Rattus norvegicus: one gene and its partner. The protein of the gene in region 1 binds, or shares a complex with, the protein of each later gene. Links are inferred from orthologs where the notes say so. Each region holds a gene or a part of one and is shown on either strand. Other genes may lie near its edges.

Region 1 (3,979 bases):
TGATTCCGCCCCGGCAGATCCACAGGCGGTTACGCCACCCAGCCGGGCCACGCTCTGGGCGCTGTCCCCGCACCCCGCCACCCTACCGATCTTCGTGACGCCGTCATACAACCCAACCTGGGCCCACCTGAACCGTCCGCCGGGCAGAAGACTGCGGAGCCCCTTTTCGAGACCGCCTTGGCTCGGGCCACGCCTCCCCAGCTCAGCACGCCCCCGCACTGCTCGTTCTGGAGGGCGCCGGCAGGGCTGCGGGGTCCAGGCCCCGAGAGCCTCTGCTTTACGAGATACAGCACCGTAAGAAAGGAACCCAGAACACCAGTATGCCGCAAGATGCCGGTCGCGATCGTTCTAGGAGGCCCCCGGGCAAAGAGCTGCCAGTACGTGAAGGGGCGGGGTTTCGGGTCAGAGAGGCGGGACCAAGAGCTTCGAGTCTGGTTGAGACATGAGAAGGAGGAGGGACCTGGAGCTCAGCTTCGGAAAAAGACAGACTTTCAGCTTCGGATTCCTTCGGGCACACTCGGTCATTCAAGCTCACGGCGTGGAGGTGGGGCCACAAGCTTCGGCTTACTTCGGAGATAGCCGAGTTCTAAAGTCACCGTTCGGAATTAGATGCATTCACAAACTCGGCCGGATGTAGGCGGGGCTACACGCTTCGGCTTGTTTCGGAAATGATCGGGTCCAAAAGTCGTTGTTTAGTGTTAGGCGGGCTCTAGGAACGCAGCACGAAGTAGGCGGGACCGCATGCTTCGGCTTACTTCGGAGATAGTCGGAATCCGGCGACGTAGGAGAGTCAGATAACGGCGGGATGTGGGCGGGGTCACATATTTGGACTTATTTCAGATAACTGAATGCTTTTCAGGTCAAATGCCAGTGAGGGCAGAAGTTTTGGCCTAGCTTTGGAACTAGAGTGTCAGTAGACTTGGTTTAATAACAGGCAGAGCTAATAGCTTATTGAAACGTCAAGCCTTGCTGGCGAGAGGAAGGCGGAGCCACGGAAGACCGGAAAAAGGCGAAGGGGCGGGGCCTCCATAACTCATGGATTTAGGGGCGAGGCCAGATCAATGACCCTCAAGGTCCCACTTATGTAGACCAGAGTGGCGGTGAGGGCTCCCTTAGCTTTTCCGCTTTGCTGACCTGACGGGATGACGGAGGACGCGCTACGTAGGGCCAGCTCCGCCTTAATCGGGATTTGGTGTTGGCTAGGTGTTGACTTATTGCCTGTGCCCAGGGACAGTACGGCAGATTGAAGAGGAGCCACAGCGTGCACAGTGTGCGACTGTGGATTCAATCGTAGGCGTGAACTCCTTAAATTGGGTAGGAAGTGGGCGGGGCCACAACTGAAGAATGACCGGATCTGGCTAGGCTCGAAAGCCGAACTTCTTGCAACTTAGAGGGGGTGGCTGATTCGACTGAGCCGAGATCTCCCGCAAGCGTTCGGAAGTAGAGTCGAAATCTTCCGAAGGCTGAACGCTTGCTGTTTAGGGTGGGCAGGGCTCCCGATTGAGCTTTATTTAGGGTGCTGGAACATCGTACAGCTGGCGCAAGACAGGACTGGGTTTCTTTTAAAAAGCCCGACTCAGAATAGGCGGGAAGGGAGAATCTCAGAAATTCGAAAGGGGCGGGGCTGGGCTCCAACTATTTAGAAAAGGGTGTGGCTTGAGCAAACCTCCACCCTACATTGAGGTTCCGAGACCTGACGGACGCAACAGAAAGAAGATACGCACTTTGCAAAAAGGGCGGTGCACCACTATGGCGGGAGGTCTCTCTGAGGAGTTGAGATGTGGTGGCACGCATTGGCAGAGATGATGGTCACCTGGAGCGGAGGGGGAGCGGAACAGTGGGACCTGGGTGAGGGGCGTGGTCTTAACTGGACCGTCCCAGGGTAGATCTTGGCCTGGGTGCAGGTAGCAACCTTGGCCCCGCCCCCTGGGGGGTCATGGGCGGGGTCTTGCCCTGAGGGCTTGGACGACTTCAGTCCGGTCCGTGGAGCTGTTTGGGTGACCGCGACGCACCCCCACTCCGCAGGAAGATGCTGGTGGTGGAGGTCGCTAATGGCCGCTCGCTGGTATGGGGAGCCGAGGCGGTGCAGGCGCTGCGGGAGCGCCTGGGAGTCGGGGGACGCACGGTGGGCGCCCTGCCCCGCGGGCCCCGCCAGAACTCGCGCCTGGGCCTTCCGCTTCTGCTGCTGCCTGAAGAAGCCCGGCTCCTGGCGGAGATAGGCGCTGTGACCTTAGTCAGCGCCCCGCGTCCGGATCCCCGCAACCATGGCTTGGTAAGAAACGAAAGGCCGGTATATTGGGAAGGCCTGGGAGGGCCTGTTCTAGAAAGAGGCAGTTGGAAGGTTGTAAACAGGGTCAGAATTCCTGCCTTCCTAAGGGACTGCAGGCTGTGTCTTGGGATTCCAGCTAAGTTTACTTCTCAGGCCCTAGCGTCGTTCAAACGCCAGCAAGAGCAGAGTTTCCAGGATCAGAGCACTTTGGCAGCAGAGGCCCGGGAGACCCGGCGTCAGGAGCTTCTGGAGAAGATCGTAGAAGGCCAGGCTGCCAAGAAGCAGAAGCTGGAACAGGATTCTGGGGCAGATGAAGAAGGCCAAGAAGCCGGTGGAAGTGAAGCTACCCAAGGAAGTGAGACCAGTGATGATGGTCAGGCTTCTGCGGAGCAGGAAGGAGCAGGTGAGAGTAGGATTTAGAGTTAAGATTTGGGGCTGGAGGGAGGGAAGCTTTGGAGAATTTTAGCTGGGTTTTTCTGGGGATAAGAAGACCTTGTGGACTCAGTAAATTCTTCTGTCCCACCCCCACCCCCAGATTCTTCATCCCCCCAACCAGGACCTTCAAATGGGGTGACTCCCTTGCCCAGATCAGCCCTGCTTATCCAGCTGGCCACTGCCAGGCCTCGGCCTGTAAAAGCTAAGCCTCTGGACTGGCGTGTGCAGTCCAAAGACTGGCCCCATGCTGGCCGTCCTGCTCATGAGCTTCGCTACAGCATCTACAGAGACCTGTGGGAGAGAGGCTTCTTCCTCAGCGCAGCTGGGAAGTTTGGTGGTGACTTCCTGGTCTATCCTGGTGAGTTTGAGTTGGGGCTGTGGTGGCTGTACCTTTTCTGATGGTCTTTATTTGTTGCACATTTTCTCTTTTGTCCCACCTCTATGCCCAGGGAACCTAAAACAGGGACATCGAATATACCAGAGTTCTCTTGAACTCGAGGAGGATAGTTTTGTCAGAGACAGGTTCTCATCCCATAGCCAAAATTAGCTTGGAATTTGCTATGCTGCACAGGCTAGCCTTGGAATGCGAGGTCTTCCTTTCTCTACCTCCGAAGTGCTGGAACTGCAGGCTTGTGTCACAACACCTGGCTTAGTGTAGTAACTTTTTATAAATACTGCCTGTGATCTAGAAAGTGACTTAGAAATCCTTACATAATGTGCACAAAACATATGAGCCCATTCACTGCAGGATTAGTTATAGAATTGAAAGATTAAAAGTAGGGCTGTTACTGATAAGTTAGGAACAAAACAGAGTTATTAAGCTGGAAGAAATGGTGTATGCCTGTAATCCCAGCCAAGCTGCATAGTGAGAGAGCCTCAAAACAAAAGCCAGAACAACAACAACAGCAACAAACCAGTTGTTGCCAGGCAGTGATGGCACATACCTTCAATCCCAGCACTCAGGAGGCAGAAGCAGTCAGATCTCTGTGAGTTTGAGGCCAGCCTGGTATCCAGGCCAGCCAAAGCTACACAGAGAAACCCTGTCATGAAAAATCAAATCCAACAAACCAAAACCAAAAAACCTCCAGATGTCTGGGAAACAGTATTAGTTATCAAAGAATTAATGTGTAAGATTAGAGTTGGGTATTGTGGCACAGGCCTCTAGTCTCGGCTCTAGATAAGAGGAGACATAGATAGACTTATCTCATAGATAAGAGTTTGAGGCTAGCTTTGGCTACATGACACCTTAGCTCAACAAAGAAAAAAAAAAAAGAC
Region 2 (2,954 bases), on another chromosome or scaffold:
AAGTTGTGAACGTCTTTCATCAAGATAGAGCAGGTCTCGGGAATGGTCAAGGGAGAGCAAGCCAACTACAGACCAAGAAAAGCCCATCACACTCCTTCACACTACCCGGCTTTGTCAGGTTTCTACTTGTCCTTTTTTTCCCCATTCCTGTCACTGCTGCTTCCTAAAGAGCTATGAGCTCTGGGGTAGGTGGGAACCATGACTTGCTTCTAACTGAGGAACAAGGCAGACGAGACAGAAGACCCATGACATCACATGAGACACTAAGTCTAGCCTGCTCTCTTGTTAGCCTTGAAAAAGCACCCATGGGGCAAGGCACAAAATGTGGACTCCAGTAGAGGTAGAGCCCATCACAAGGCGTAGGAAGCTGAGAGGAAGTGCATCGTGGTGGCACCTCAGCTGTGACCACAGCCCACAAGGCCATGCCTGCATCACTGGCCCATAAAAACGTAAGATCATAAATATGCTATTATATGTTGCTAGCTTTAGCATTCAATGATGGATGACTACTTCAGATTTCAAGATATTTTTATTTTAAACTGTTTTATTATAAAACTAATACAAATAACAAATGAAATGTAGAGAAGGAAAGCAGTCCACTTGCTGCCCTGCCATCCTACAGGGACCATCGCTGGTGATCTGATTGTCTACTTTCACAGCCTGGTGTGTCATTCGCATCCATGCCACGTTAACGCTGTGGTCCTTCTCTTACTGTAGTGTTGTCTCCATGCTGCTCACGGATACCTGCCTATCGACTAGAGCTGTGGGACAGCAGAGACACAGCCAGCCTCCGCCACTCTGAACGTCTCCTTGGTGTAAACCCCCATGACTGTACTGTCTCTCATAAGAAAGTTCTAGGCTAACTATATTTGCAAGCAATATAGTGTTTCCATCCGAGGTTTTGTTCTGAAAGAAAGTTTATGGGTTGGGACTAGCTAAGTCAGCCCTGACTACCTCTGAGATAAAAGACGAAGCACGCTGATGAGCCTTGCATCCAATCTTTCAGGAATGAAATCAGCACCAAGAAGGGTGGCCGTCATCTTCTAAGAGAAATATTCTGCAACACAGAAGGAGAGCATAGGTAAGAGTACAATCAGAAAGATATTTAGCGTGACTATGCCAACTAGACGGACATGTAGAGCAAGCAAACGCAGACACGAACTAATGTTCCGGCAGAACGGAACTCCGTGTTTTCTACTACAACCATTACTGGCCTTTGTACTTCACTCCGGTTACTCACTTAGACGCACGAATGCACAAAATGCTTGGGAAAAATAGGACATTCTCCACAGAACAGGAAAATCAAACTAGTTCTTCAAAAAACAGCTAGGAAAATGCAGCCTTTTCTTATTCTGAGGAATAAAAACCAAGCCTTTTTTGCCTTGAATTTCTCACGTGGCAAAGGAAGTGGAAACTGAGTGGCCTGATCCACACTCGGGGTCAGGCTGAGCCTCTCTCTCCCATTACTGTTTCGGTCTCTCTCCCATTAATGTTTCCGGTCAATCACTTCAAAACTGACCTGAGGGTCTGGCAGCATAAATCCGTCGGTAAGTTTATAATAGACGATTGTGGAATCTGACTCCACTATGGCCAAAGTAAAAGACATCGGCAGCTCCGGATCGCCTTGCAACTTTCTAGACGCCTTCAAGATTTCCCTTATCCTGGAAATGAAGACAAAGGATGCTTGAGAGTCCTGGTTACTTGAGTAACAGTAAGGCCAAACAGTAGGAGTTTCTGAGGGGAAGGTAGGGCATTGCATCCAAACGCTAAGGCTCACTGAACACATCTGCGGCTGTCTTCTCACGCAGACCGCCCTGAGAACCGCCTGCATCCTCACTGTCCTTTCTCTCTCTGGACTGGCTGATTCTGGAACCCAAAGAACACAACTACGACCTAAGAGTGCTGTTCATCTAATTGGCTAAGGACCATACATGTTAATTTTCCAAGTTGGTAACTTATTGGAACCAAGTGACACTGGGGTCTATTACTTTAAACAGATTGTAGGGCTGTTGTGATGGAAGACGCCTATATCCCAGCCTGGGAGGCAGAGGCAGGAAAGTCACAGAAAATCAGAGATAAGACAGGTTTATACAGAGTTCCTGGCCAGCCAGGGCTTACACAGTGAGACCCAGTCTCAAAATATCTGAAAAATAAGGACTGTAATAACCATGACCCCTTGTTTTTCCACAGGGTTTATACTACTACCTTTGCATATGTAACTCCCCATTTGTTACCTACTGACCCAATTATTCTCCTACTGTTGCAAGGTTTGGGGTTTTTGTTTTGTTTGTTTTCGTTCTTTTGTTTTCTCAACCTAATCGGGGGAACCACATGAGTGTCTTACTTTAATATTCTCAAGACTTCTGGTATTTCTATATTCACATTATCCTCTGGCATCATTTCCTCGCTCAAAAATTGATTCCATTCTCCCCTTATGCTTTTTGTTTAAATTGTCAAATATTGCTGGTTAAAAATAATTTCTGGGGGCTGGGGATTTAGCTCAGTGATAGAGTGCTTACCTAGGAAGCGCAAGGCCCTGGGTTCGGTCCCCAGCTCCGAAAAAAAGAACCAAAAAAAAAAATAATAATAATTTCTGTATGTGAGTGTTTTTCCTGCACATCATGTGTGTGCAGTGCCCACAGAAGAGGGTGTTGGGTCCTCTGGAACTGCAGTTACCAGCCAGCTGCCATATGCGTGCTGGGCACAAAACCAGAGTCGTCTGCAACAGCAACATTGCTCCTAGCCACTCATACTGCTTCTTTCCCATTCATAAAGCCTAGTAAACGCTCACAAAAACCCGCAGTGGACACGCTGAAAGTAAATTCCTCTAAGTGTCCCTAGCTGGCAAACCATGATGAGTACAGGACAGAGACGGAAAGAAAAAGGAAAAGGAAAGGAAGGAAGGAAATAAAAAACCTTGTTAAGACAACTTTATACAATTTCTCTCTTTTAAA

Evidence for each region.
Region 2: the proteins of Tsen34 (region 1) and Tsen15 are in contact, whole or in part, in a crystal structure (PDB 6Z9U), measured with the Homo sapiens proteins. The link is inferred for Rattus norvegicus from reciprocal best matches to the Homo sapiens genes TSEN34 and TSEN15. Residues at the interface, in NP_001070914.1 of Homo sapiens: Pro251, Leu252, Arg253, Phe254, His255, Ala256, His257, Tyr258, Pro265, Glu266, Asp267, Thr268, Ile269, Pro270, Leu271, Gln272, Leu274, Ser283, Val284, Arg285, Lys286, Thr287, Leu289, Leu290, Cys291, Ser292, Gln294, Val300, Tyr301, Thr302; in NP_443197.1 of Homo sapiens: Leu70, Lys74, Trp76, Thr108, Pro109, Ile110, Thr111, Ala112, Ser113, Leu114, Ser115, His116, Asn117, Ile119, Arg120, Leu123, Leu141, Ile143, Val151, Tyr152, Tyr153, Lys154, Leu155, Thr156, Asp157, Gly158, Phe159, Met160, Leu161, Pro162.

The regions. Positions count from the first base shown.
Region 1 is NC_086019.1:74,436,985-74,440,963, reverse strand, and holds the start of Tsen34 (tRNA-splicing endonuclease subunit Sen34), read left to right. Parts: upstream 1-1,169; 5' UTR 1,170-1,314; exon of another isoform or gene 1,315-1,848; intron 1,849-1,973; exon of another isoform or gene 1,974-2,025; 5' UTR 2,026-2,029; coding exon 2,030-2,272; intron 2,273-2,422; coding exon 2,423-2,672; intron 2,673-2,804; coding exon 2,805-3,062; intron 3,063-3,979. UniProt on the Homo sapiens protein: Constitutes one of the two catalytic subunit of the tRNA-splicing endonuclease complex, a complex responsible for identification and cleavage of the splice sites in pre-tRNA. It cleaves pre-tRNA at the 5'- and 3'-splice sites to release the intron.
Region 2 is NC_086031.1:67,039,624-67,042,577, forward strand, and holds the end of Tsen15 (tRNA-splicing endonuclease subunit Sen15), read right to left. Parts: intron 1,662-2,954; coding exon 1,520-1,661; intron 1,058-1,519; coding exon 1,037-1,057; coding exon of another isoform or gene 1,015-1,036; 3' UTR 511-1,014; downstream 1-510. UniProt on the Homo sapiens protein: Non-catalytic subunit of the tRNA-splicing endonuclease complex, a complex responsible for identification and cleavage of the splice sites in pre-tRNA. It cleaves pre-tRNA at the 5' and 3' splice sites to release the intron.